Macaca fascicularis: one gene and its partners. The protein of the gene in region 1 interacts with the protein of each later gene in a pairwise test. Links are inferred from orthologs where the notes say so. Each region holds a gene or a part of one and is shown on either strand. Other genes may lie near its edges.

What was found.
Region 2: the proteins of CEP44 (region 1) and H2AP interact in binary tests that used the Homo sapiens proteins (3 or more experiments, as listed by UniProt). The two-hybrid records come from large-scale screens. The link is inferred for Macaca fascicularis from reciprocal best matches to the Homo sapiens genes CEP44 and H2AP.
Region 3: the proteins of CEP44 (region 1) and CBY2 interact in binary tests that used the Homo sapiens proteins (3 or more experiments, as listed by UniProt). The two-hybrid records come from large-scale screens. The link is inferred for Macaca fascicularis from reciprocal best matches to the Homo sapiens genes CEP44 and CBY2.
Region 4: the proteins of CEP44 (region 1) and ABI3 interact in binary tests that used the Homo sapiens proteins (3 or more experiments, as listed by UniProt). The two-hybrid records come from large-scale screens. The link is inferred for Macaca fascicularis from reciprocal best matches to the Homo sapiens genes CEP44 and ABI3.
Region 5: the proteins of CEP44 (region 1) and RNF8 interact in binary tests that used the Homo sapiens proteins (3 or more experiments, as listed by UniProt). The two-hybrid records come from large-scale screens. The link is inferred for Macaca fascicularis from reciprocal best matches to the Homo sapiens genes CEP44 and RNF8.
Region 6: the proteins of CEP44 (region 1) and TXLNA interact in binary tests that used the Homo sapiens proteins (3 or more experiments, as listed by UniProt). The two-hybrid records come from large-scale screens. The link is inferred for Macaca fascicularis from reciprocal best matches to the Homo sapiens genes CEP44 and TXLNA.
Region 7: the proteins of CEP44 (region 1) and POP5 interact in binary tests that used the Homo sapiens proteins (3 or more experiments, as listed by UniProt). The two-hybrid records come from large-scale screens. The link is inferred for Macaca fascicularis from reciprocal best matches to the Homo sapiens genes CEP44 and POP5.

What each region holds. Positions count from the first base shown.
Region 1 is NC_088379.1:179,043,570-179,047,069, reverse strand, and holds part of CEP44 (centrosomal protein of 44 kDa), read right to left. Parts: intron 2,826-3,500; coding exon 2,679-2,825; intron 2,283-2,678; coding exon 2,160-2,282; intron 1-2,159. UniProt on the Homo sapiens protein: Centriole-enriched microtubule-binding protein involved in centriole biogenesis. In collaboration with CEP295 and POC1B, is required for the centriole-to-centrosome conversion by ensuring the formation of bona fide centriole wall.
Region 2 is NC_088395.1:37,930,048-37,933,131, reverse strand, and holds H2AP (huntingtin-interacting protein M), read right to left. Parts: upstream 1,889-3,084; 5' UTR 1,117-1,888; coding exon 763-1,116; 3' UTR 501-762; downstream 1-500.
Region 3 is NC_088391.1:24,906,511-24,910,736, forward strand, and holds the start of CBY2 (protein chibby homolog 2), read left to right. Parts: upstream 1-1,426; 5' UTR 1,427-1,497; coding exon 1,498-1,572; intron 1,573-1,871; coding exon 1,872-1,952; intron 1,953-4,226.
Region 4 is NC_088390.1:57,494,318-57,497,338, forward strand, and holds the end of ABI3 (ABI gene family member 3), read right to left. Parts: intron 1,651-3,021; coding exon 1,516-1,650; intron 1,175-1,515; coding exon 1,011-1,174; 3' UTR 501-1,010; downstream 1-500. UniProt on the Homo sapiens protein: May inhibit tumor metastasis. In vitro, reduces cell motility.
Region 5 is NC_088378.1:134,270,005-134,273,504, forward strand, and holds part of RNF8 (E3 ubiquitin-protein ligase RNF8), read right to left. Parts: intron 2,878-3,500; coding exon 2,673-2,877; intron 1-2,672. UniProt on the Homo sapiens protein: E3 ubiquitin-protein ligase that plays a key role in DNA damage signaling via 2 distinct roles: by mediating the 'Lys-63'-linked ubiquitination of histones H2A and H2AX and promoting the recruitment of DNA repair proteins at double-strand breaks (DSBs) sites, and by catalyzing 'Lys-48'-linked ubiquitination to remove target proteins from DNA damage sites.
Region 6 is NC_088375.1:202,849,163-202,853,221, reverse strand, and holds the start of TXLNA (alpha-taxilin), read left to right. Parts: upstream 1-1,259; 5' UTR 1,260-1,313; intron 1,314-1,884; exon of another isoform or gene 1,885-1,886; 5' UTR 1,887-1,918; coding exon 1,919-2,087; intron 2,088-2,818; coding exon 2,819-3,154; intron 3,155-4,059. UniProt on the Homo sapiens protein: May be involved in intracellular vesicle traffic and potentially in calcium-dependent exocytosis in neuroendocrine cells.
Region 7 is NC_088385.1:127,617,210-127,621,214, forward strand, and holds POP5 (ribonuclease P/MRP protein subunit POP5), read right to left. Parts: upstream 2,801-4,005; 5' UTR 2,761-2,800; coding exon 2,741-2,760; intron 2,659-2,740; exon of another isoform or gene 2,656-2,658; coding exon 2,513-2,655; coding exon of another isoform or gene 2,394-2,512; exon of another isoform or gene 2,265-2,393; intron 1,330-2,264; coding exon 1,180-1,329; intron 1,059-1,179; coding exon of another isoform or gene 1,009-1,058; coding exon 925-1,008; intron 827-924; coding exon 732-826; 3' UTR 457-731; downstream 1-456. UniProt on the Homo sapiens protein: Component of ribonuclease P, a protein complex that generates mature tRNA molecules by cleaving their 5'-ends. Also a component of the MRP ribonuclease complex, which cleaves pre-rRNA sequences.

The DNA of each region.
Region 1 (3,500 bases):
AAGCACTGAAATATTTATTAAATTATGTCTGAGATTTGTTTTAAAATAAAGACAAAACAAGATGAGCAAAGAGTTGATAAACTGTTGAAACTGGATGATGGGTACGTTTGTAAATGTTTGAAATGTTCCATAATACAAAGTTATTTTTAAAAAAGATTGCCGAATAATTCACTTCAAATAATCAAAATAGAGCCTGGCTCTATGAGTAGGGCTCATTACAATTTTTCTATTAAACAAACTGCAATTTATCAGACCTTTAGCTAACAATTCAAACCTAATAATGACAACGAAAAAGTCCTGACAAAAAAAGCATTAGGTCACGCTATGCATTTACCTAGAAATCCTCTACCTGCTTCCTATTCTACAGTTTGCATACACACTACAAAAACATATGTGATTTCAGAAGCACAAACAGCATACTATATAAGGCACCGGGAGAGGAGACAATTTGCTTTAATATTGACTCAACTTTTGCTTGTAAACAAAGAAATGTACTTGTAGACTCTTTTCTAAATCTGAGAACTTTTAATACTTATTCGAATTTCTGATAAAGATCTGATACAAATTTTAATAGATAAAGAAAACTGTGCTTTAAGAAAATTAAAAATAAGTCTAATGTTTTGAAGTTTACATTTTTCTTGGCTAGGACAATTTAGACTGTCCCCTCAACTCTCATACTGAAATAGAAGATTGAAAAGTACATTATATCAACTAATATTTAATAAGTGCTCACAGTGTACCTAATCCTGTGCTAAGCAAAATGAAGGCACAAAAAATCAGTATTAAAAAAATCCCTGTTTATATATGTTCCTTCTAGTTGGGGAAGAATACAAGATATATCACTTAACAGTTAGAAAATAATAAATAAAACTAACAAGAGTTAGACGAGTTGGAGATGCAAGTGTACAAAAACTATATGCATTTATTCAAAAATCTCAGCTCTGTATCATTCTTTATATTGTCCTCATTACCTAGAGCAAAACAGGCACATTAAAAAGAAGTGGCATAAGAACCTTTTCTTATAATAAAGTTTCAGTTTTTTAAGGTACAAAGGAATAAATATATATATTTTTTGAGATGGAGTCTCGCTCTGTCACCCAGGCTGGACTGCTGTAGTACGATCTTGGCCCACTGGAACCTCCGCCTCCAGGGTTCAAGTGATTCTCCTGCCTCAGCCTCTTGCGTAGCTGGGGTTACAGGCACCTGTCACCACGCCCAGCTAATTTTTGTAATTTTAGTAGAAACGAGGTTTTGCCATGTTGGCCAGGCTGGTCTCGAACTCCTGACCTTAGGTGATCCACCCGCCTTGGCCTCCCAAAGTGCTGGGATTACAGGAGTGAGCTACTGCACCAGGCCCATGTATAAATTTTTAAAATAGATTCTGTTTACATAACTCATCTGTTTTGGATTAGGGCAGAAATAATACTCTAAATTACACTTCAGTCAGAAAGTATTCACATCCTTTACTTAATTACACCATTGATAATTCATCTGATATTCTATCATTCAATCAGAAAGAGTTTTCTCCAGATGGAAAACAGCTGAAAATATAATATAAAACAATATTTTAGCTTAAATCTCCCTTTGTGATAGATACACTGGAGCTCTAAATGCGTTAGATTCAATTTGCCACAGCTGCTCAAAGCAGATAACGGCAGAAAAATTATCTTTCAAGAAAAAGAACATATTCAAAACATTAACTGAAAACCAGTTAATACGTGTAGGGACTACCAATCATTGGATAATGCATACTTGGTTACAGAAATATAATGTACATAAATGAATCATTATAAGCTATCACTACTGCTAATGTAGGCTCTTCATATGTTCCCATGTTTTAGGAAGACCAGAACAAAATTAAGAGCAAATGTAGACAACTGCATAAGATATCTTCCTAAATCACTACTCTTCTGTTTAGGAAATCAGGCAGAATTAGAAATTAGAAATACAAAGAGAACACCTATTTAATTTTATATTTCTATCCTACTGTTATAACTTCAGGAATACTGCCCAAAAACATTTGGCATCCACTGTTAAAAATCCCTACACTCCAATATCTAACTAGAATGTTTCATCAGGTGCCAATCAGAAAAGTGAAAACTGTATATTGGATTAATTAGATAACTCTTAAACAATATATTTTCTTTGTGGTTGCATACCTTTCCTGAAGTCACAAATCTGCCACTGGTATCAACGCCAACAGCCTCTGCAGATATTTTCTCATTGCTCAGAGAAGGTTCTGACTTGCCAGAACTGATTTTCTTTCTTTGTTGTGATGGAATCTAAAAAAAAAGGTGTCAGTCAAAATAACAAATTTTGTGTGAAAGCATAATTATATATTAAAATTCCATTAACATTTAAATTTTCATATATGAAATATAACTGACAAATAATGAGACTATAATGAGACTACATGACTTTTAAAAACTAAGAAATAATGAAAATGCATTATGTTTGAACTATTAGTTTAACACTAGGAGTTTCCAGTCACAGGTGTATAAAACAAGAGAGTACTATTTAAAATAAACATCAAGCTTTATAAGGTTACTCAAATCTTTGAATAATACGGTAATTACACTATGAAATAATCTGCTGTCTAGGGTACTGATTTTATGTGTTAAAATACTGAGCCATCTATTAATATCATACATCAGCATTAAAATCTATTCAAAAGTTACCTTCTGAAGACTACTTAATTCCTTGTGCTTTTTCATCACACAATTCAAAATATCACAAACAATTTGGATTTTCCATTCTGCAAACCCACATTGGATAAACTGCTTTTTTGTCAAAATTGGTTTATAATTAAATTGATCACGAAGGAGCTGCAGAGGAAACAGACTCTTGTAGTAATTGGGAGCAATTTATTTCTAAAATTCCAAATGATAATGCCCACCTGGTCAGGGGAATAATGGCCACCTTTGAGAGGACAAGGAAAACCAAGCCATTAACTAAAGAGTACTAAAGTAATTTATAGGGCTGGTGTAAGTCACGATCCAGTAAGACAGGTATCAGGTGGAAAACAGGTAGCAAAGGATATGCTGGAGAACAGATGGCTGTCCAGAGAGATGGAAAAATATAGTCAATCATCAAAAAGTTTAAATATCTTCATAGACATTAGAAAAACTCCCTAGTTCACCAGAAGACCACACCAGAATCAGAAACTATAGTTCTATTTGTTTATAACTCTTCCACTATGTGATTTCTGGATAAGTCAGTGGGCCTTTTGGTCTCAAGTTTTCATTTGTAAAATGAAAAAAAAAAAAACCCACTAGATCAGTAGTTTCCTAAATCTACTCTGTGGAGCTCTAGAATTTCTTAAAAGTGCCTCTTAGCTTCCATGGATGTTTTCTGGGATGAAAAGCAAGAAAGAGAAAGATTAAACAGAGACTACATATAAAAACTCCCATTTCACTGACTGCAACTCTGCTTTTTTTAAAAGACTATTTGAGGTTGGGTGTGGTGGCTCGCGCCTGTAATCCCAGCACTTTGGGAGGCCA
Region 2 (3,084 bases), on another chromosome or scaffold:
TAAATTTTATGTATTATTATGATTTATTTTACCAGTGTCCTGAAGAGAGGACAGAAAGATATATTCACAGCACTAGCTACTAATCCCTGTCTCAAATCCTCTTTCATAATAAGTCAGGGCATAAAGAAATAAGAAATGAAATCCAGCAGGCCATCATTTCTTTTTTGCATTTTTCATCATGGTTTCTCCTTCACTCTCAATCTCCATGTAAAGTCCCTATCCCATGAACTTCATGCCAGCCAGTGTGCCCCCTCTCCACCCGCCCCTGTGGCCACCACCCTCTGCCTCCTGCACTTCAGTCAGAGTCTGCAGCTCCACCCCAGGCCCCAGCATCAGGCTGGGAATTCAGCAAGCCTCAGAGGCCCCCAGCCAACTCCCCGGCCTCACAAGGCCTTCCTGTTCAGAGGCAATTAGGAAGTCTCGGTGTCTTTATCCCAGCCAGTTCCTCCCCACAGGGCCCGTGCCCTCTCTGTCACCGTTGGAAACTGCCCCCTCTAAATCACTGATTCAAACACTCCACACTGGCCACCACTTCCCGCCCCCCCCCCCCAACTTCAGCTCTCTGGGGATAGCTTCTCCTTGATGTCTCACAGACACCTACAACCCAAAAAGACGGAAACTGGAAGGAGTCAGAAACATACTCATGGATTTACATCCTTTAGTAGCACTTGTTGATGACAACAGCAGATATTCCTCAGCTGTGACACATTTTTGCCCTGGCTAAGCCTGTGAGGATCCCCTCAAGGCTCTGGGACCCAGTCTTCAGTCATTCTTTCCGGATTTGGGCATCTCATCAAACACAAAGCGGGTTCCATCACTCTCAGTGCGGTGGGGCTCATGGTGGTTGTCCACTTCTCTCTCCCCATCTTGTGAAGTGTTGCGCATCCTGCCATTGTTGATGGCCTCCAAGCCTACCTGCTCCATGATGTAGTCAGCAAGGCAATCGAGCAGGGTAAGGAGGATATTTATTGTGGAGGAACTCTGGCTTTGGGCATCTTGTTCATCTTGCACAACTCGGTCCACGAAGCTCATAGGGACCCGCAGCTCATTTCTAGACCGGTCTTGAATCTGGTTGTTATTTGCAGAGGAGTTCTTACGGTTATTTTTCTCTGACATGATATTTGCTGGGTTTGGCTCTGATCAGCTCTGCTTGATTCTCCAGCTCAAGTAAGTCTCTGAGGACGCTGGTGCTGCCTATTGGATCCCTCTGCTCCAGGCCCTGATTGGTCAGGGAGCTAGCTGCCTTTGTGACATCCCTAGGCTTTGTGATTTCACTGGTGTCCACTGGTCCCTGATCAGACCTCAGCTTAGAAATGTCTGTGACACTGATCTAGTCACCCTAATGACTGAACCCTGATTTTGAGGGAACTATAACTCTTTACCTGATTTTGACATTATAAAAATAAAAGTGTGTTTCAATGGAAAACTTTGCTCTATCTTTAGGACACCACTGCAGGTTATCTGATTCTAGCCTTACATTATCTGTGAAGTCTTTTATAGCCTTTTGTTAGTTGTAGGTGGCTGATACATGTACAGTATATTCTTTAGTAGAGGTTCAGTTGTCTTCACCTTATGAAACCAGTTTTGCCTCCATGTGCACAATCATTTAATATTACTGATGAATATTCCCATATCGACTCTTTGGTTTCCCTTTTGAAGCAGTCATAACATCTTTTTCTTTTAGCATGTGTTCATTTCGTATCTGTATGAGTGTCATGATTTTACCCTATTTGAAAAATGCATTTTATTTATTTTTTTATTTTTATTTTTTATTATTATACTTTAAGTTCTAGGGTACATGTGCACAATGTGCAGGTTTGTTACATATGTATACATGTGCCATGTTGGTGTGCTGCACCCATTAACTCGTCATTTACATTAGGTATATCTCCTAATGCTATCCCTCCCCCCTCCCCCCTCCCCACAACAGACCCCAGTGTGTGATGTTCCCCTTCCTGTGTCCAAGTGATCTCATTCTTCAATTCCCACCTATGAGTGAGAACATGCAGTGTTTGGTTTTCTGTTCTTGCGATAGTTTGCTGAGAATGATGGTTTCCAGCTGCATCCATGTGCCTACAAAGGACACGAACTCATCCTTTTTTATGGCTTCATAGTATTCCATGGTGTATATGTGCCACATTTTCTTAATCCAGTCTGTCACTGATGGACATTTGGGTTGATTCCAAGTCTTTGCTATTGTGAATAGTGCTGCAATAAACATACATGTGTATGTGTCTTTATAGCAGCATGATTTATAATCCTTTGGGTATATCCCCAGTAATGGGATGGCTGAGTCAAATGGTATTTCTAGTTCTAGATCCTTGAGGAATTGCCATACTGTTTTCCACAATGGTTGAAAAATATATTTTAATCATTTTTCAATTAATAATAAGATGCTCAATAAGTTTACCTGTCAGTGTCAGGTAAACAGTTGATAGAGAAGTGCATCTTGTGCTCAGTTTAAGCCCAGATGTATATTTCTTGTCTCTCCTAGGTGAAGCAAAAGCACTAACAGATGTTTCTTTTCTATTATTTAATTTTCCTTTCTAGTAATTCTGTGTTTTCCCTTTGACTTTGGTTCATTTACAGCCAATAACTTTGCCATTCCATAGGGGAAAAAGTAGAAAGAACAAAAGAGTCTTAAATCCAAACAATTTCAAAATCCAACCATTAGGTTTCAAGGCCTGGGAATATTCTATGACTTAAGACTCCTCCCTTTGATCACTCTGATCCTATGACTTCACCTGGGGTAATAAATCTGCCCTCTGGCCTCTAGGTTCTGCCCTCAGTCATTGTTCCTTTATTTTGAATGGTAGCATATGTTTACAGCTGAGTAGTTTTATCAGCCTGCTTTCTCCTGTCAAATTTTGGGAGTCCTATGGCCTTCTTTCATTTCTTCCTCTATTTGTCCCTTTCCGTCTAAGCTGGCATTGTTTCTGCTGATATAACATTCTCAAAAACTTATAGGTCTTTTATGTATGTCATGGGGATTCATGTGATTAGACAAGAGGTTTCTTCAAGATCCTTCATAGACAATCCCTTGCTTATTCTGAGAAGCACACCCCATATCTCTTCAAAACACCA
Region 3 (4,226 bases), on another chromosome or scaffold:
ACAGTCCTAGACAAGGGTGGGACTCTCATCCATAATCCTAAACCACAGGGTGGGACCTGAACCCACAGTCCTTATGATGAGTTCAAAGACAATTAAAAGTACAGGTACGTATTAACAAGGTACTCACCAGAAAGATGTCTAATCCAGAAGCAATTTCTTTTCCCAAAGGAAAAGTGCCAAGGGAACCTGAAGTGCCATGGTAGAGAAGCAGGAACCCTATAGTTGAGCCTCTGAACGCACTGGTCTAGGTGGCTACTCAGGATCAGTGCAGGGGGCCTGCACACCACTAGGGGCAACAGTACCTTGAACAGGCTGTTCGTCTCACCTGGGGTTCTAGTTTGTTATCAAGCAAAAGGGGCTCACTGCCCAATATGCTAGAAGCCAATACTGACACCAAGTTTTTGAAAAAAAGAAAAGCTTTATATTAAAAGTCACCTCTGAAGGAGGCAGGAGTCAAGCTCAAATTTGTCTCTCTGTGCTGGCATTAAAGCAGTATTTTTATTGGAAAAGGTTCAGGGGGTGGATTCTGAGATTAGCAGGTGATTGGTACAAGGAAAAGGGAGGTCTGGAAAGTCCTTGGGCATGCACAGTTATTTCTTCATGTTAACTCCTGAGTTGCATGTGCAAATTCAGGGGGAATTAGTACAAAACATGTGGTGGAAATTCAGGCTACGACATCAGCAAGCTTATTGTGTGCAAGCTCCAGTCAGCCATTTTGGTTCCAACCAATTTCCGCCAGGTTTTTCTAGATCTCACAAGTGGAGGGAGTTTCAGCAGCTTAAATTTCTTTTCTTATCTGCTATCCCGAAACTCAAAAATTTCTGTTAGTTACTGATTTCTTACTCTTTGGGACTTTCCATATCTCCCATTTCCATCTACCAATCACCTACTAATCTCGGAATCTACCCCCGGAAACTTTTCTAATAAAAATACTGCCTTAATGTCAGCACCGAGAGACCGGTTTGAGTTTGACTCTTGTCTCCTTGGGAGTTGACTTTGAATATACAAGTTTTTCTTTTTTAAAGAACGTAGTGTTTTAGTATTGGCTTCTATTGCATTGGGCAGTAAGCCCCTTCAGCTCTATCACACTAACTCCAGGTAGATAGCATCAGAATGAAATGGAATTGTAGGGCACACAGTTGATGTCAGAGAATTAAGGAATTGAGTAGTGTCAGAAAACACCTCAGACTATACTTTCTCGCTTGGTGTGGGAAGAGTTCAGTTGTGTTTCCTTCTTCTTGAGTGACCGAACTCCAAGAAGACGCCACTTCTGGAGAGAAACTAGGGGTCTCAACTTAGCCTGGCAGTGAGAATACAAATGGCAGCTGGGATGACCCAACAGGGGGCTAATGTTTGAGCTATTGTGTGTCACACTGACCCTGACCGGCCAAGTAGTCACAGCCCCCACAGGTTCTTCCTGCCTGTCAGATGCCTCATTCCCACCTGTGATGCTCAGACAGAAACCATGAGCCCTGAAAAACACCCTATTGTTTTGTGATGTCACCTCTGGAATGTTCTGAGTGTTTTGGTGACCAACTTCTGCATAGGACCTATACCTGGCAACTCACATTGGTATGGCTTTTTACTTGAGATAGAAATAATCATCTTAGGCAAGCAGGTACAGTTATCTCCGCGTCAAAGACTTTCAAAAGTCTTTTACATCAACTATAATATCTAGCTTAATATCTGTTCAGAGATTGATAAACCGTCTTGCCAGATATCGTCTACACATTCTTCCAGACTTTCATAATTGTACATAACTGACAAGAGGGAAATAAATGAGGAGAAAGTTCTATGTTTTTTAGGTGAGCAATTGAGGCCCAGAGGATGAGTTGGGAAGCAGCAATCTTCTTCTTTTCTCTTTTCCACAGCACTCAAGGCCAAATTTTACAAGAAAAAGAGATACCAGATCTGAAAGCCTAGAAATTCCAATCAATGTGGTTCTACCTCAGGTAGGGATAATCACAGAGGATGTAACCTATCGGTGTTAGCCAGAATAACCCCCTACCTCCTCCTTCAAAACTCTAGCAAGATGTTGTAGAATAAGCAGAGATAGGGCTTCAGGTTCTAGTTTGGGTTGGCTGCCAGCAGGCAGCGTGCTGGGGAAGGCCACATAGCCCCTGTGGGCCTTGGGTTCTTTTTCCCACGAATGAGGTGGTTGGGTCAGATGGTTTGGTAAGAACTTCCAGTCCTAACATTCCAAGTTTCTATGATACTCTGAAGTAACCCAACCTTCTCAAAACGAGACCTTTTGGTGCTTAGTGTTGTGCATTCACTTTGGATTTCTAGAGGAGAATTAGAACTGGGACTTGGAATCAAATGCATAAGAATGAATCCATGAGAAGAAAACCTCCTTCATGGACAGAGGGGTACAGAGTTATTTGGAGTTGTCAAGAGAATTAAGCCCTGCTATGCACCAAAGACAGATGTAGGGGCCATGGGCATAGATGCTTTTGTGGTCAATGAATTGGTGAAGTCCTCACAGGCTAGAGATTCTCAGGTCTCCTCCTGCCTGAAATCAGCTCTTTCCTTAGTGGAGTCTTCTTGATTGAATTGTGTCTACTGATGCTATGTCACAAAGGGGTGGCTTTGCTTTCTCCAGAGTCACCTAAGGCCTCATTGGAAGACCAGGGCCATGCAACCAGAGGGGTTGAAATGTAGGATGGAGGAATCCAAAGCAGAGGTAACTATCTGAGAGCTCTGTCCAGGGATGTGTAGGAGGAGGATTGACCACTGGTGAGCATTCCAGATATAATTGTAACAATCTAGGCAAGTATGTTCAGTGGGAGGCAAACATATGGAAGAAGAAAACATCCTGGATGTTTATTTTCACATTATCTTTATAACTTTGTAATGAACAGTCACTTTTCTATGACTTGAATCTTAGCTAGAATATAAGATAACTTCCCCCTGATCATTCGACAGGATAACAAGCTGTAGGAATCTTTTTGGGCCTGATTCTTTCCACCTGAAATATGCAGGGAGTTGTGTTGGCCACTGCTTCCCCAAGAGTGGGTGTTACTGCTGTGATGCCTCATGGCCCATATAAACCAATCTTTTCTTCCAGAATCCTGGGGCCTCTCAACTTTACATGCTTTGAAAGTACCTCAGATGGCTGAACGTTCTCTGATAGTAACCCTCAGTAATGTTGGCAAAGTTGGTGTTTAAGAAACTTGGTCAGGCAGAGGATGCCAACCTAGAGGTGGGTGTGAAGGAGGGGATAGGATTTGAAAGAGTAGTGGTCATGTGATAGAGAAATTGGAATGATGTTTCCATCAACACCTACCGTAACTTTCCCTCCCCAGCTCCCAGAAACAGCCCAGCAATCAAAGAGAAGAGAATGTGGTTTAAGACAGCTCAAGCTTGTCTTGGGGCTGCCTGATTACTGTTCTGGAGGACCTGGTGCTGCTGCTGGGGTCCTGTGGGGGCAGAGTGGGTGAAGAATGAGAGGATATCTCCTGTCTGGGCATGTGTACCTCTCACGGGAAGGTGTATACACCTGCCAAGAGGGCACAAGCCATGCACCAGGTTTTGGACACCTGTCAGGATGCTCAAGACTGGCACTCTGGGGACGGGTGTGGGTGTCTACAAGTAGATAATCTGAACCAAAATACCACCAGGGCTGCGAGAGGGACCAATGTGCTCACTCGGCCTCCCTAGATGAGATGGTGCATGGCTTAGGGGACAGGGTTGATCTGGGAAGCAAGGAGAGGAAGAAATATCGACTGAATGTTAGTGCGATCATGTGTTGAGCACGGTGCCAAGTAAGTGTGAGGTAGAGATTTTACAGGTACAGGAACTGGCAACCCCAGGAACCCCACTAGTAATGGCAGAGATGGAGGAAGGGGCTTGAACTCCAATCAGTGCCCATGTTCTCCGCTATACCAGGGCACATGCCACTAAGCTGGGCCACGCTGCATCTTAGCTCTGTGGTTCTTCTTTTGCTCTTTGGAGATGGAGTCTTCTCCCCGCATCTTAACCGCTCATCTCTGGGCTTCTTATTTTGTATTTGCCAAAAGCTACTCTATTCTGGGATGGAATCCACTTTCCATTTGTTTCAGAAAGGACTTGTGGCAGCAGCTCTGTCTCTAGAAAGTGCCTCTGCTTCCCAGCTCCCAGTCCTGCTGTGTGTTTAGGCTTCTCAATTACATTGCAAATGCCTGTGATCACTACTTGTTATCACCCTTAGGTCTTTTCAGGACGCATTGATTTCCCGTTTTTCTTCC
Region 4 (3,021 bases), on another chromosome or scaffold:
TTTCTGTGCTGTCTACACCCTCTTGCCTCCCGACCTCCGCACTCCCTTCTAGCACCCCCAACGGAAAAGCCAGAGGGAACAATCGCCTCCTGGTGGTGGTACGAGGTAGCGCACCGTCCGGCCCGGGTCCTGCCAGCCAATAACCTCGCAGCGTGTGACGGTGTCTCCTTGCACCCCAGCCTCATCTATGCAGCAAGAGACCAGGGACTTTACCAAAGTCACCCTTGCGGGCTGGGCCCTCCACGCATCCCCCTCCCCACCCCCATGGAACAGAAAGCCATGATGTTTTTAAGCAGAACCAGCGAAACCCAAGCCCCTCCTTCCTCTGGTGTTTTACAACTATAAAGGAGGTGAAGGGGGAAGAAATGACTGAGATCTCTGGCGCGTCAGTCTGAGTTGAGAGTGAGGTGCTCTAGGAGAGTCCCGCTTAAGTCAGGGAGATGGTTCCCACTCTTGGGCAAGTGCCCAGCCACATATGAACACATCACACACACAGCAAGCAATGGGCAAAAGAACAAGTTGCAGTCAATGGCTGCAGAGGGGTGTCTGGGGTCCAATGTGGGCTGCATTTTGTGGGTACTGAGGGAATGGGAAGATGCTGCTTCTGGGGCAGCTGGTGGGTTGGAGGTTGGGGGCTGTAATTAGCAGCAGCCTTAGAATTGGGATGCCTTTCAATCCCTCCTGGCCCCTTATCTCCGTGGGGCAGTCACAGGACGTCATCCATTTTATTCAAAGTTGAGACTTGCAGCAGGAGACCCTGCCCTGCATGGAGTAGGGGTCCTCTGTTGACAAACTTCTTGGTTTCCAGCTCTTCCCCATCTGCAACAGGCCTCTGGGTAAGTTCTCTCTCCGCAGGACCCCTTCCCTCCACGATGGGAGGAGGGACAGAACACAGCTCACAGCCCAAGAGCTGGGCAGACCCAGTCCAGCCGTGACTGGAGCTGGTTTTGGCCTGGGGCTCATGAAACCCACTCAGTGCAGGCATCAGCTGCCCAGAGAGCCCTGGGCTGTCAGCAGCTGGGCTCCACATAGTTTCCGGGGAAGAATCCAGTCCCCTCTGAGCTGATGCCCTCGCACCAGCCATCGGAGTAGCGGCGAGTGACACAGATGACAGTGCCCTCAGAGAAGGAGAGCTCATTGTCCTTCTGGCCGATGTATGGGTACAGTGTCACCACTGCAGGGCAAGAGAAGAGGGTGCTGTGAGATATGCCTCTTGCCCTCTCCCCCCCCACCCCCACCGCCATGGGGATGCAGGGTCTCAAGTACTAGACTCTAGGGACCATCTTGAGGGGCTTCCAAGCCTTTAGGACCCCTCCCCAGCTTAGTTAATATTTAATACCAAGCCAGCTGCCCTCTCCCCAGTTCTGTTCTGAACTCAGTTCGTCAGAAAAATTGTGTAGGGAGCCCGGGGGGTAGATTCACACCTTTGCAGAGGGAGGAGAATGGGGGTCAGGACAACAGAGGCAGACGCTGGGAAGTGGGATCCGGTGCCCCTCAGTCCCAGAAGTCAGGTACCTTTCTCCAAGTATGAGGCAGGCACCCAGCTGGGCTCATCAGGCCCAAAGCCTGGTGGGGGTGGAGGCAGCCCTAATTCATCTCCATCCAGGGGTGGAGGAGGAGGCAGGTCCAGTGGCAGGGGCAGCTCTTCATCTTGGGGGAAAAGCAGAAAGGCTGTAAGTGTGGCACAGGAAGCTCCTTCAGTGTGTCAGGGATCTGCTCGAGAGCTGGGCCCCAGAATCCACCCATCTCAGCCAGGCGCGTTGGGAGGCCAAGGTGAGCAGATCACCTGAGGTCAGGAGTTCGAGACCAGCCTGGCCAACATGTGAAACCCCATCTCTACTAAAAATACAAAAATTAGCTGGACATAGTGGCACACGCCTGTAATTCCAGCTACTCAGGAGACTGAGGCAGGAGGATGGCTTAACCCAGGAGGTGGAGGTTGCAGTGAGCTGAGATCTTGCCAATGCACTCCAACCAACCTAGATGACAGAGTGAGACTCCATCTCAAAAGAAAAGAAAATAAAAAGAATGCACCCATCTCATGCAATCTTCCTCCAGCCCTCTCCTGTCCTGGTCCTCCCACGGTGTGCTAGCGCATAGTAAGTGCTCAGTAAACCCTGAAAGATCCAGCACTAGAGGACAGTCAGACTCTACCTCTTATTAGCTGGGTGGCTCTTGGGCAAGTCACTGAACTTCAGCTTCAGTGGCTTCATCTATTAAGGAAGAGTGCTAAGGACCCTCTCGTGATTAAGTTTATTTTGTTTTGTTTTATTTTATTTTTTTGAGAGGGAATCTCGCTCTGTCACCCAGATTGGAGTGCAGTGGGGTGATCTCAGCTCACTGCAGCCTGGAGGCCTCCCGGGTTCAAGTGATCCTCCTGCCTCAGCCTCCTGAGTAGCTGGAATTACAGGCATGCACCACCAGCCAGGCTAATTTTTGTATTTTTAGCCATGTTGGCCAGGTTGGTCTCAAACTCTTGACCTCAAGTGATCTGCCCTCCACAGTCCCCCAAAGTGCTAGGATTACGGCCGTTAGCCACCCCACCTGGCCTTTAGGATTAAGTTTATTATTATTATTTTTGAGAGGGAGTTTCACTCTTGTTGCCCAGGCTGGAGTGCAATGGCCGGATCTCCACTAGCCGCAACCTCTGCCTACCGGGTTCAAGCGATTCTCCTGCCTCTGCCTCCCAAGTAGCTGGAATTACAGGCATGTGCCATCACGCCCGGCTAATTTTGTATTTTTAGTAGAGCCCGGGTTTCTCCATTTTGGTCGGGCTGGTCTCGAACTCCCGACCTCAGGTAATCCGCCCGCCTCGGCCTCCCAAAGTGCTGAGTTTACAGGCATGAGCCATCGCGCCCGGCCAGGATTAAGTTTAAATAAGAAAATGGACGAGAAGCTTCGAACACAGGGTCTGGTATACAGCAGGCGCTAAGTTATGTTAGTTCACTTCCTCCGCCTCCTTTCGCTCCCGTGCTGCGCTCCATGGAGGAGGCATTCACTGAGGCTGGCTGGGGCAGATCC
Region 5 (3,500 bases), on another chromosome or scaffold:
ATCAATGGCTAATCAGTCATGAGACTCTACTCCTCCCACTGACATATGAAACTTCAATAACCAGCCCAGGAGGCCTAGAAGTGAGGCTGCTCTTGGTGAAACCAGAATACAGGCATGTCTGCATGGGCAACCCCCTGCTGCCACAGGCAGGCAGGTCTCCTCTGAATTGAGAAGAGCAATTCCTGCTCCAGGGCCTGCAGTGTTAGGACTCTGACAATTATAAGCTTGCCAATCCTAGTTCCCAGATCCTAAATTTGGTCCTTTTTAAAAATTCCCATGCAACAGGGATTAAACCAGCTTTCAATTGGCCCTGGAATATGGAAGGAAGGTTGGTATTTAAACCGAGAATTTTCTCTAAACCCAGTGAAGCTGTTGATAGCTCTGGCATGTCTTTCCCCAAATCAAGTCTCAGAAAACCTGTCTGTCTCTAGAGAAAACTTCAAAGCTGCATTCGGTGTGATAACTACAGAAACCAAGATGGGTGCCAGAACTGCTCCCAGCCAATGCATTTAACAGGGAAGCTGACTCATTTTACTGTGTAGCCCCCTAGTGTTACCAAAAAAGTGAGAGACACCCTCTTTAGCCTTTGGAGAGAAAAACGGTATCTGTTATTACTCTGCAGAATTAACTCTGTGTAATAGGAGTCAGACGTAAACTTAGGACACAGGGCCCAAGGCCCTTCTTTCCTTTTTTTTTTTTTTTTTTTGAGATAGAATCTTGCTCTGTCATCCAGGCTGGAGTGCAGTGGTGCAACCTCGGCTCACTGCAACCTCTGCCTCCCAGGTTCAAACGATTCTCTTGCCTCAGCCTCCCACGTAGCTGCGACTACTGGTGTGTGCCACCACACCCAGCTACTTTTTGTATTTTTAGTGGAGATGGGCTTCCACCATGTTGACCAGGCTGGTCTCGAACTCCTGACCTCATGATTCGCCCACCTTGGCCGCCCAAAGTGCTGGGATTAGAGGTGTGAGCCACCGTGCCCAGCCTTTTCTTTCCCTGATGTTTTGTGAAGCCATTTACCATGCTTAGATTGCAGGGAAGGAACTCAGGTGGTAGACTGGGCGAAGAAAGCCCATGGATGTCCCTAGGTCTGCCTCCAACCCCATCCCCCGACTCAGCAGACTTCAGTTCAAAGGCCACAACCTGATCTTGGCCAGATCTGGGTTCCCAGATCACTGCTCCTCTCAAAAAGGGAAAGAGGGAAGAAAAAACATTCGCAAAGCCTCCATAGATACTTTCTAAGCCTTGGCATCATGTGAATATTATGTCTCGTAGGGGCCACACTGGGAACTGGGGCAGGGCAGGTCACTGCTTCTCATGCCTCTGTGTTTTGCTTGTGCTACTGTCTCCGCTTAGAAAGCTAACCGCCTAGGGAACCTTTAAGGCTCATTCAAATGTCATTTCCTTGATGAAGCTTTCTCCCATACCTGCACCTCCCCAGGCCAAATCAGATGTGTCCCCTCCTTTGAAGTTTCATAGCACCCTGATAAGGAACTCATCACACTATCTATTTGCCTTTCTATCTCCTCCGCCAGACTGTTCATGCTGTAAGGGATGAGATAATGTCTTATTTATCTTTTTCTCTTGAGGCCTAGTGTAGTATTCCTATAAATGCTTATGGAGTGATGGGAGGTGAAAAGGAAGAACAATGGGATTCTGCCAGAATCAAGTAGCTCTTGGAGGTGAAATTCTGTGGGGGCTTACATTTAGGCACAAAACCCAGTAGCATACAGCTGTTAGTAAAGTGGTAAAACTTCAGTTCCAAAGAGCCAACTTTCAAAGGCCGCTCTGCCCTCCCACAGGTCAGAATGTATTCCTTGGGCATAACAGGCACAGACACATGTCCTGCTCCGCCTCTGTGACAAGCCTGCGGCCTCCATTCTGGCTGACCAACCGAGGGCCAGTTTCAAACCACAGCTGCTTGCAAGTCAGCATCAGATTCCTGGCCCTACTATCCTATTTATAACTCACTGTATACTCAAGGTTTTTTCAACACCTGGACAGCAACGGAAGTGTCTTGACAACAGCACCATCTAGTGATTGGTACAGCAAAACGTCTGACTGTGTGTGTTTTTTAAAATCACATCTTTATTTTACCCCCACAACCAAGGCACACATGCTTAGCCTCCCACTTCCCTGCTGCTCAAATAACAGTTGAGGTTAATTCTATCTCAACTCTTCCTCTCACAGACTCTCTTTAACTCCTTTTACTCCTCCCCATTTATTCCACCTCTTCCCTAGTTCAAGAATTGTTTATCTGACTCTTTCCAAAAAAAATTTGTTGAAGTTTGGAAGTAAATAAGTCCTTTCTTGGCCGGGCGCGGTGGCTCAAGCCTGTAATCCCAGCACTTTGGGAGGCCGAGACGGGCGGATCACGAGGTCAGGAGATCGAGACCATCCTGGCGAACACGGTGAAACCCCGTCTCTACTAAAAAATACAAAAAACTAGCCGGGCGAGGCGGCGGGCGCCTGTAGTCCTAGCTACTCGGGAGGCTGAGGCAGGAGAATGGCGTAAACCCGGGGGGCGGAGCTTGCAGTGAGCTGAGATCCGGCCACTGCACTCTAGCCCGGGCGACAGAGCCAGACTCCGTCTCCAAAAAAAAAAAAAAAAAAAAAAAAAAAAAAAAAAATAAGTCCTTTCTTGAGGGGTAGGGATTCTCACACCCACTCACCTTTTCGTTCCCTAATGAGAACAATTCGTCGTTCTTTCACTTCTGAGCTCAGATTATTTACCATCTTATTAATGCAATTGTCCAGAACCAAAGAGTACGTTTTGGACTCAATGTCCTTCCGACAAATGGGGCATTCTATCTTCCGCTTCATCCATTCATTGATACAGTAGGAGCAGAAACTGTGGGCACAGTTCAAGGTGACAGCCTACAACAGGAATGTGAACACACATATCAGAACTTTCATGCTTACTTTCTCAGGATGCTTCTGATCTCAAAGTTAGGTCAGGAGTGAATTTCAAAGGCCAAATGGAAAATCAACCACAATCCCATCTTGAGGGCTTACAAAGAGTATCAGAATCATTCTTGGGGTTGGGCCAGGCGTGATGGCTCATGCCTATAATCCTGGCACTCTGCAAGGCCGAGGTGGGTGGGTCACCTGAGGTCAGGAGTTCGAGACCAGCCTGGACAACATGGTAAAACCTCGTCTCTACTAAAAATATGAAAATTAGCCAGTCATGGTGGTACACACCTCTAATCCCAGCTACTCGGGTGGCTGAGGCACGAGAATTTCTTGAACCCAGGAGGTGGAGGTTGCAGTGAGACAAAAATCACGCCACTGCAGTCTGGCCTGAGTGACAGAGGGAGACTCTGTCTTTTAAAAAAAAAAAAAAAAAAATCGTTCTTAGGGTTGGGAAATTTTAAGCTTTATGTTAGATAATTCTTTTATTTTCTCAAAGTTAAGGGATTTGTCTGTTTCAGTCCACCAACTCAGACCACGCTCCCAGTGTGGGCTGGCCACCTTGCAAACAAAATGTTACTGGATATGAG
Region 6 (4,059 bases), on another chromosome or scaffold:
GAATATTTAGCCAACAGTTCTTGCAAAATTAACTGACTTATAAGCAAATAGTAATTTCAACACCTCACTGCTAATGCTGTAACAGAACTCTGCAGACCTAGGGAGCAAGTACGGATTGCAGAGCACTGGGAAGGCTCTGAAGTGACCTTTGAACTGGGCCTCAAAAAATTTTGGGTTTGGCAAAAGCCAAACCTCTTAGGCTTCAAATTCTAGGCACAAGGATTGTTGGGTTTGACTTCATTATCCAGAAACAATGAGGATACAGAATTGTGATCTCACGTGTAGAGAATTGTGGGGTTTTTTTCTACTTTAACCCCAGTGAGACTTCGTAGAGTATGGGGTAGAGAAAAGGCTCATGAATATGCCTGAAGCCTGACTCAGCACCTTCCTGAGGAACTGACTGCCAAAACGGTAATGGAGAGGGGAAAATATGACCTACTTTCACAAGTTACCTTGACTGCCTCAGGGAAACCTGCTGTGGTAGTGTTTCTTCTGGGTAAAAGACAGGGTAGCCGAATAGTTACCTGGGTGCTGGTGTCAGACTTACGTTTTGAATCCCTGTTTTAACCACTCACTATCCATGTGACCTTGGACAAGTTACCTAACCTTTCTCTTACTGTCCTTTTCCGTAAAATGGGGATAACAGATAGTAGTTATTTCTATGAGTGGTTATGAGAACCAAGCTATTAGATACTGGGAAAGCACACAGTAAGCGTTCAAGGAACTGTTATTGTTATTAAAAGCCTCCTTCGGAAGAAGGACATCGAGGCCCAGAGAGAGAAAAGAACGTCCAGCCACACAGCAAATCCGTGATGAAATTGGGACTGGAGTGTGGGTCTCCTGAGTCTCAGTTCAGGACTCTTATCCCTCTTCCCGAGTCCTCGGAGTTCCTGGATGGAGTCACATTTGTTCACGGCCAGGGAGGAAGGTTTGATGGAGGCCTGCAGGAAACAATAGCCAGGCGCAAAGCCTTCGGGAGTTGAAACATAGCTTCTGCGAGATAGAAACAAGGTTGACGTGGGCACTCGTGCAGAATGACGGGCTCCTTTTGGACTCTGAGGACTACAGCCCCTTATGCACTTCGGGACTGCGGATAGCCCCTGCGTACGGAGGAACGCGTAGACTTTTCCCTGCCCCGCCCTCCCGGCGCGCCCGCCTCCGAGGCCGCCCTCGCTTAGTCCTTCCCAGCAAGCTCCGCGCCGGCGCCGGCTATTGATTGGCTGAGGCGGGAGCAGGCGGCTCGCCGGCAGCGGTTACTCGGGGTTTCCGGTGCGAGGCCAGAGCTGGGGAAGCCGTCGGACGTCGGCGGTGAGGTACGTGCCGTGGCAGCCGTTGGGCGAGACTATTTGAGGGTGTGCGGGCCGGGATGTTCTCGGCCTGTGGGGAAATCACGCCAACTCCGCGCGTGGGCCGGCGGCCGGGACGGGGGGAGGGGGGGTGGCCTGCCTGGGGGGGGGGGGGGTGCGCATGCGCGGGCGTGCCTCGAGGCTGCAGGGCGCGCAGGGCGTGGGTGGCTGCGAGCGCGGGGGGCGCACGTGGGGCCTGAGGGGCGGGGGCGGCGCCGGCGCCGGGAGTCCCGCCACGTCAGTCTCCGGCCCTGAGCCAATCCCGGGCCCGGCCTGCCGCGAGGGGGCCGGTTGTGTAGAGAAGTGGCTCCAGGGAGAAAAGAGGCCCCTTCCCTCACCCGCTGCGGGAGCTGCGCCCCGAAAGCCTGTCCCGGCACGCCGGGCTCCCCTGACCCTCCAAGACCCGAGAGCCGTTGGCGCCCTCTGCCAGGGCCGGCCGGTCCGTTTAAGAAGCTTCGTGCGCCTGCTGTGGGGATTTTCTGATCCAGGCTGCGAAGAATTTCGAAGTCTGGAAAATAGCAACTGTGTTTGTTTCTAAAGGATCTTCTCCTGACCCAGCATCTCTCATCACAATGAAGAACCAAGACAAAAAGAACGGGGCTGCCAAACAATCCAACCCAAAAAGCAGCCCGGGACAACCGGAAGCAGGACCCGAGGGAGCCCAGGAGCGGCCCAGCCAGGCGGCTCCTGCAGCAGAAGCAGAAGGTCCCGGCAGCAGCCAGGCTCCTCGGAAGCCGGAGGGTGTGTGCCAGCTCTGCGTTGCCAGCGGGCAGGGGGTGGAGCTGTGGGGCCGGCCTCGCTTCTGGACTTAGAGGCCGAAGCCAGGTTGTCCGGGAGGAGGGAATATAGAATGAGAGGACAGTGCTGGGGCCGCGGTCACCCCCGAATTCTGGCGAGTTGGCGGAGCCGCTCCCTGTAAGCACAGGAACAGAGTTCTGGAGAGAACCTCTAACGGGATTAAGTCAGGTGGCAGCCAAACGGGGCACCCAGTCAGGAAATCCAGGTCCGGTTTGAAACACCTCAGCCACTAGCAGCTAACTGCCCTTCCTGTTTGAGGCATTTCTAGAATGATCTGAATGGTAAAAAATGGTTTTGTGAGGGGGAAGGAGATGGACTAGAAGTTGCACCATGCCATCCCTGTGTGCTGATGCTTTACATACTTTTATGATCATAACAAACATGTTCGAGTGGTAGTGAGAAATAGTTGTGTCATTTTACAAGTAAACAGAAGTGAAGCTTAACTATATTATATTACTATAATTTCTTGATTCAAAAGATGTTTCGAATTTAAATTCTGACAGGAACTAGATTTGCTGAATAATACTCCATTCTTGCTTCTCAGTTTCCATAAAAAAAGAAAAGTTAGGCAACATTTAACTCAAACTGATGAGTTTGGCTGGACCTGAAAATTCCCAACCAGTGGTATAATTTGTCTTGTTTCTCACTCTACCCCTCATCCTCTCCTGCTGTAGGGGCTCAAGCCAAAACGGCTCAGTCTGGGGCCCTTCGTGATGTCTCTGAGGAGCTGAGTCGCCAATTGGAAGACATACTGAGCACATACTGTGTGGACAGTAACCAGGGGGGGCCTGGCGAGGATGGGGCACAGGGTGAGCCAGCTGAACCCGAAGATGCAGAGAAGTCCCGGACCTATGTGGCAAGGAATGGGGAGCCTGAACCAACTCCAGTAGTCAATGGAGAGAAGGAACCCTCCAAGGGGGATCCAGGCACAGAAGAGATCCGGCAGAGTGATGAGGTCGGAGACCGAGACCACCGAAGGCCACAGGAGAAGAAAAAAGCCAAGGGTTTGGGTGAGCAGAGGGTGGCTCTTTGTGAGGCTGGTGAGGGGAGGGAGTTTGGACTTGACGTTCTCTGGACCAGTCTGTTCCGCCAGGATTCAAAGGAAAACGGTACTTCTCAGAACAGCAAGTCACTCTAGTGTAATCAAAGCCAGGGATGTGGGGGCCACGGCATAGAGAGATGCAGGGGTTCCCAGCACAAGGCCTTCTGGCTTTTGGAGCAATTGGGGGTTGGAATGGGACCTGTTCTCTCTTTGAGAAAATGGAGATGGGAGGCCAGGGTGGGCTCCTGTGCCAGCCAGTACTACCTGCTGTGTGATCTCGGGTGTGTCCCTTCTCCTCTCTGGGTCTTAGTTTATACTTCTCTTTACAGTAAGAAAATTAGACTAGGCTGGAGTTGAAAACCCAAATGTCTGCATAAGCTGGGCTGGCCATGGGGCCACATGAAGATGTAGGCTACTTTATCCAAAGACTTTACTGCTTCCTGATTAGTTGCTCTCAACTAGCCAACTGAGAGCAGGCAAAACTGCAGGCTGGGTGCAGGCTTCTTTTATTTTTATTTATTTATTTATTTATTTTTTGAGACAGTCTCGCTCTGTCACCCAGGCTGAAGTGCAGTGGCACGATCTCGGCTCACTGCAAGATCTGCTCCTAGGTTCACACCAATCTCCTGGCTCAGCCTCCCAAGTAGCTGGAACTACAGGTGCCCACCACCACGCCCGGCTAATTTTTTTTTGTATTTTTAGTAGAGACGGGGTTTCACTGTGTTAGCCAGGATGGTCTCGATCTCCTGATCTCGTAATCCGCCTGCCTCAGCCTCCCAAAGTGTTGGGATTACAGGCGTGAGCCACCGTGCCCAGCCTTCTTTTATTTTTTTAATTATTTTTGTTTGTTTGTTTGTTTTTTGAGACGGAGTC
Region 7 (4,005 bases), on another chromosome or scaffold:
CCATCTTGGGGCCGGGGGTACACAGCTTCAGGTAGAAGGCTAAGTATTGAAAATTTAGGCCAGGCACAGTGGCTCACGCCTTTAATCCCAGCACTTTGGGAGGCCAAGGCAGGCCGATCACTTGAGGCCAGGAGTTCAACAGCAGCCTGGCCAACATGGCAAAACCCTGTCTCTACTAAAAATACAAAAATTAGCCAGGTGTGGTGGTGCACGTCTGTAATCCCAGCTACTTGGAAGGCTGAGGTGGGAGAATTGCTTGAACCCGGGAGGTGGAGGTTGCAGTGAGCGGAGATTGGGCCAGTACACTCCAGCCTGGGTGACAGAGTGAGACTGTCTCAATAAAAAAGTTTAGTACCACACAGGGAGTCACTCTTCCCACCAAGGCTAGGGATAGAGAACAGAGACTTGGCCAAGCATGGACTCCATAAGCCCTTTTTGTAATATAAGTATACTAAATGCCACGGAAACCAAATACATTTATTAAATCTACTCTTAGCCAAGCAATAAAGATGTCTACAGAGTTCACAACCTGCAACACTTAACCAGGGAATGCTAGGTAAAGGCAACTTCAGTTTAACTGAGTACTCTATTTCAAGTGGGTAACATGTCCACTGGTTGGCAGCTATCCAGCTTGGAAAACTGTAGAAGATGCTGTTGCTACCCAGATTGTTCTGTTCAACAAGTGGGCCTGAAGCCTGAGCAGTGTAGCCTGCTGTGTGGTGAGCAGAGGGTCACTCCATTGCTTCTGCAGCCTCCTCACCTGACTCTTCCTCCTCCTCTAGTAAGCAGCTTCTTGTCACAGACTTCTGGATAGCTTCCCGCTCTCCTGGAGAAGGCAGATAGGGATGAAAGATGTCTTTGGGAGTGATTTCTTCAGCTCGAGGTCAGTCACTGCTCAGCGGGCACTGGGCTAGTATTGCTTACCTTCATCAGTGCAGTTCTGCAACAAGATCAACAGCTGTCTCCTGTTGTACTGAATTAGGAACTTCTGACATGTTCTTATTGTACCTGGCATGTGAGTTACTGCGGTCAACAGCTTGTGAAAGGTCTCGACCTTACTTTCAGAGGTAGGGGAAGTGTCCTGTTAGCGGGACAGCAGGAAGACCCACCCACCAGTCTAGACTGAACTCTGAACATGTCACCTATTGAAAATCAGTAGCCATATCACGTCACTCCTACCTCCCACATGTAACGTGTTGAAAAAGCATGGGTAACGGTGTCCTTTGTTCTCCAGGTATGTGATGAAGGGAAGAGCTGACCACACAAGCTGATAGAACTCTTTTCTGCATCGAAGTAGCACTATTCCAGTATAGGCATTGAGGTATCGAACTACAACAGGGAAAAAAAAAAATCATTTCGGAAAATTTTGCTGTGTGTGGTGGCTCACACCTGTAATCCCAGCACTTTGGGAGGCTGAGGCGGGCAGATCACTTTACGTCAGGAGTTCGAGGCCAGCCTGGCCAACATGATGAAAACCCGTCTCTACTAAAAATACAAAAATTAGCCGGGCGTGGTGGTGCATGCATGTAATTCCAGCCACTCAGGAGACTGAGTCATGAGAATCGCCTGAACCCAGGAGGTGGGGGCAGCAGTGACCTGTGATCTCCCTGCTGCACTCCAGCAGCCTGGGCAACAGAAGACTGTGTCTCAAAAAAAAAAAAAAAAAAAAAAACTTTAGAGTAACAGAGCACAAGTGGCACGTAGGATCTATCAGCGAGTAAAAGAGAAAAGCCAAAACACCCACTGTGTTGCACACCACTCAGAACTGGTGAATGAATTTAGGATTTAAAATGCTTTCTAATTCACTAGTTAATTCAATAAATAGGAGCAGGTAGGAGGCGATCCATTTTAATTTAGGAAAAACCCTCGCCTGAAAAATAGGCTGTTTTACTGCAGTTGGGCTCTGTAATTCTTGTAGCAGTCAGCTGAGTCTCACCTGACTTAAGGATGAGTTAAGCCTATCTGCATTTAACTCTCCAGAAGTCAATCCTCAAGCAAGGTAAAAGGGGGAACTAATATAAATGGTGTGGAAGAAGGGCCCCGGGCCCCTCTTTGTCCCGGCTCATCCTGTATTCACATATATTGACGATCATGTGTTCTGTACTTTACCAACTAAGGGCATTCCCAAGGATACTTTCGACAATTTTTTTCCATGTGATGTTAATGTAATCGGTCATAATAGCTCTTACTAGGAACTAGACACAGCTTCCCTCATTTAATTCTCTATCCTATCAAATTCAATCACAACCAATTACAGAAATTACCTGTCAAGCAGGCAAAAAGAGGCCTCTAGCTCAAAGACCCACTGCCTTCGGGCCCCTCCTTTTAGCTCTCTGCTAATTTCGGACTCGTGTGGATCTCTCGCTTGCGGTCCCCGGCGCTTAAAGAGATACCTTACAAAAAACGATGCACGGGCTTGGCCACTCGTGCCCCTTCTTTCTTCCTCCGGCGCCTGCCCCCTCCACGTCCCGCCATCCTCCCGGGTTCCCCTCTTCCCCCAACGCTCTCGCACCCGCGAAGCCGATGGAGCAGGCGGCTGCGCCGAAAGTCCCGTGCACCCTGGCGATAGTGTCCCGTACGAGGCTGCTCAGAACTCGGTCATCGAGGCTTAGGCGGCAGCGGGGGTCGTCAGACACCAATTCGCAGAGCAGGTACCTGCGGCAGACGAGAGGAAGGTGGGCGCTAGCGGCGCCGCGGGGACCTGGCAAGGCGCTGGGTGGGTCTGGAAGGGAATGCTTACCTGTGCTTGAACCGCACCATAGCTGCCTCCGCGCCGTCGGGACCGCTGTGCAAACCGGATGTGGGTTCCGTCCGCGGCCCGTGGGAAGCTTACTTCCGCAGCCTTTCAGCCATTCAGAGAAGGAGACAGGACATGCGGGCGGAGCTAGAAAGTTGAGAGGCCGAACTCTGTGTCAGTCTCCCTCAAGCCCCACCTAACTCTGCGTTTGTAAGCGCGCATGCGTCCTGCGGAGGGTCTCTGACTAGTTTGAGGGCTGAACTTCGGCTTGGAGCGGCTGGGAGCGGTTTGGAGCGGCTTGCAGCTGCGATGGGTGGTTTTGCTGCACACCGGAGTTTACAATACTGTGTAGGATGCAACCGCTGCCCTTGGGGCCCTGGGAACCTTGCAGCACAGGTATGTATGCGAGTACATTCTCTCCCCAAGGTGAACCGTGGAGCTTTTGAGGGCAAGACCCTGCACTTCACAGCCCAGGGATTGACAAACGGGAAATCGGACTCTTATTTTCAGGTTTGAGCTCAGTTTAATTCTTCCATGCAGCTAAATGTGCTATTGCTGTTTGGGCCTTTCAACAATCTTAGGGAGGCGAGTGTGCTGTCTCATTTTTTGTTCGCAGAAACAATACGTGGTCATTGTATTTTCCATTTCTGTTTTCCTTTCCTTTTTTTTTTTTTTTTTTTTTTTTTTAACAGAAAAGCACAAAGAAGCAAATAAATTATAATCCCAGCACTGAGAGAGAATAACTGTTGTCGTGTAGTGTGTTTTCTTCTGTCATTTTCCCCCTGGGCCAGCGGTTCTCAAAGTGTCGTCTGGGGACCCCTGAGATTTCCTAAACTCACTCGGTTTAGGAGTCCCCGAAGCCAAAATTACTTTCATAATAATACTAAGATGTTACTTGTCTTTTTCATTCTCTCAGAGTGAACAGTCAAGTTTTCCAGAGGCTGCTTGACGTGATGACATCACTGCTCTAACAGCTAATGGAATTGTGTATTTTTTAAAAACATTTCTCAACTTTAATGTCCATAGTAAATATAACCCACAAAACTAAAAGCTCTTGGGGATCCTCAGTAACGTGTGTAAAGGGGTCCTGAGACAGAGAAAACAGTTTGAGAACTATGCCCTCTGTTAAATTATGTTTTTTCTTTTATTTTCTTTTTAAGTATTTTTTTAAAAAAGTCTTATGTGGTATTACATAAAATACATATTCTTTTTTTTTTTTTTTTTGAGACGGAGTCTCGCTCTGTCACCCAGGCTGGAGTGCAGTGGCC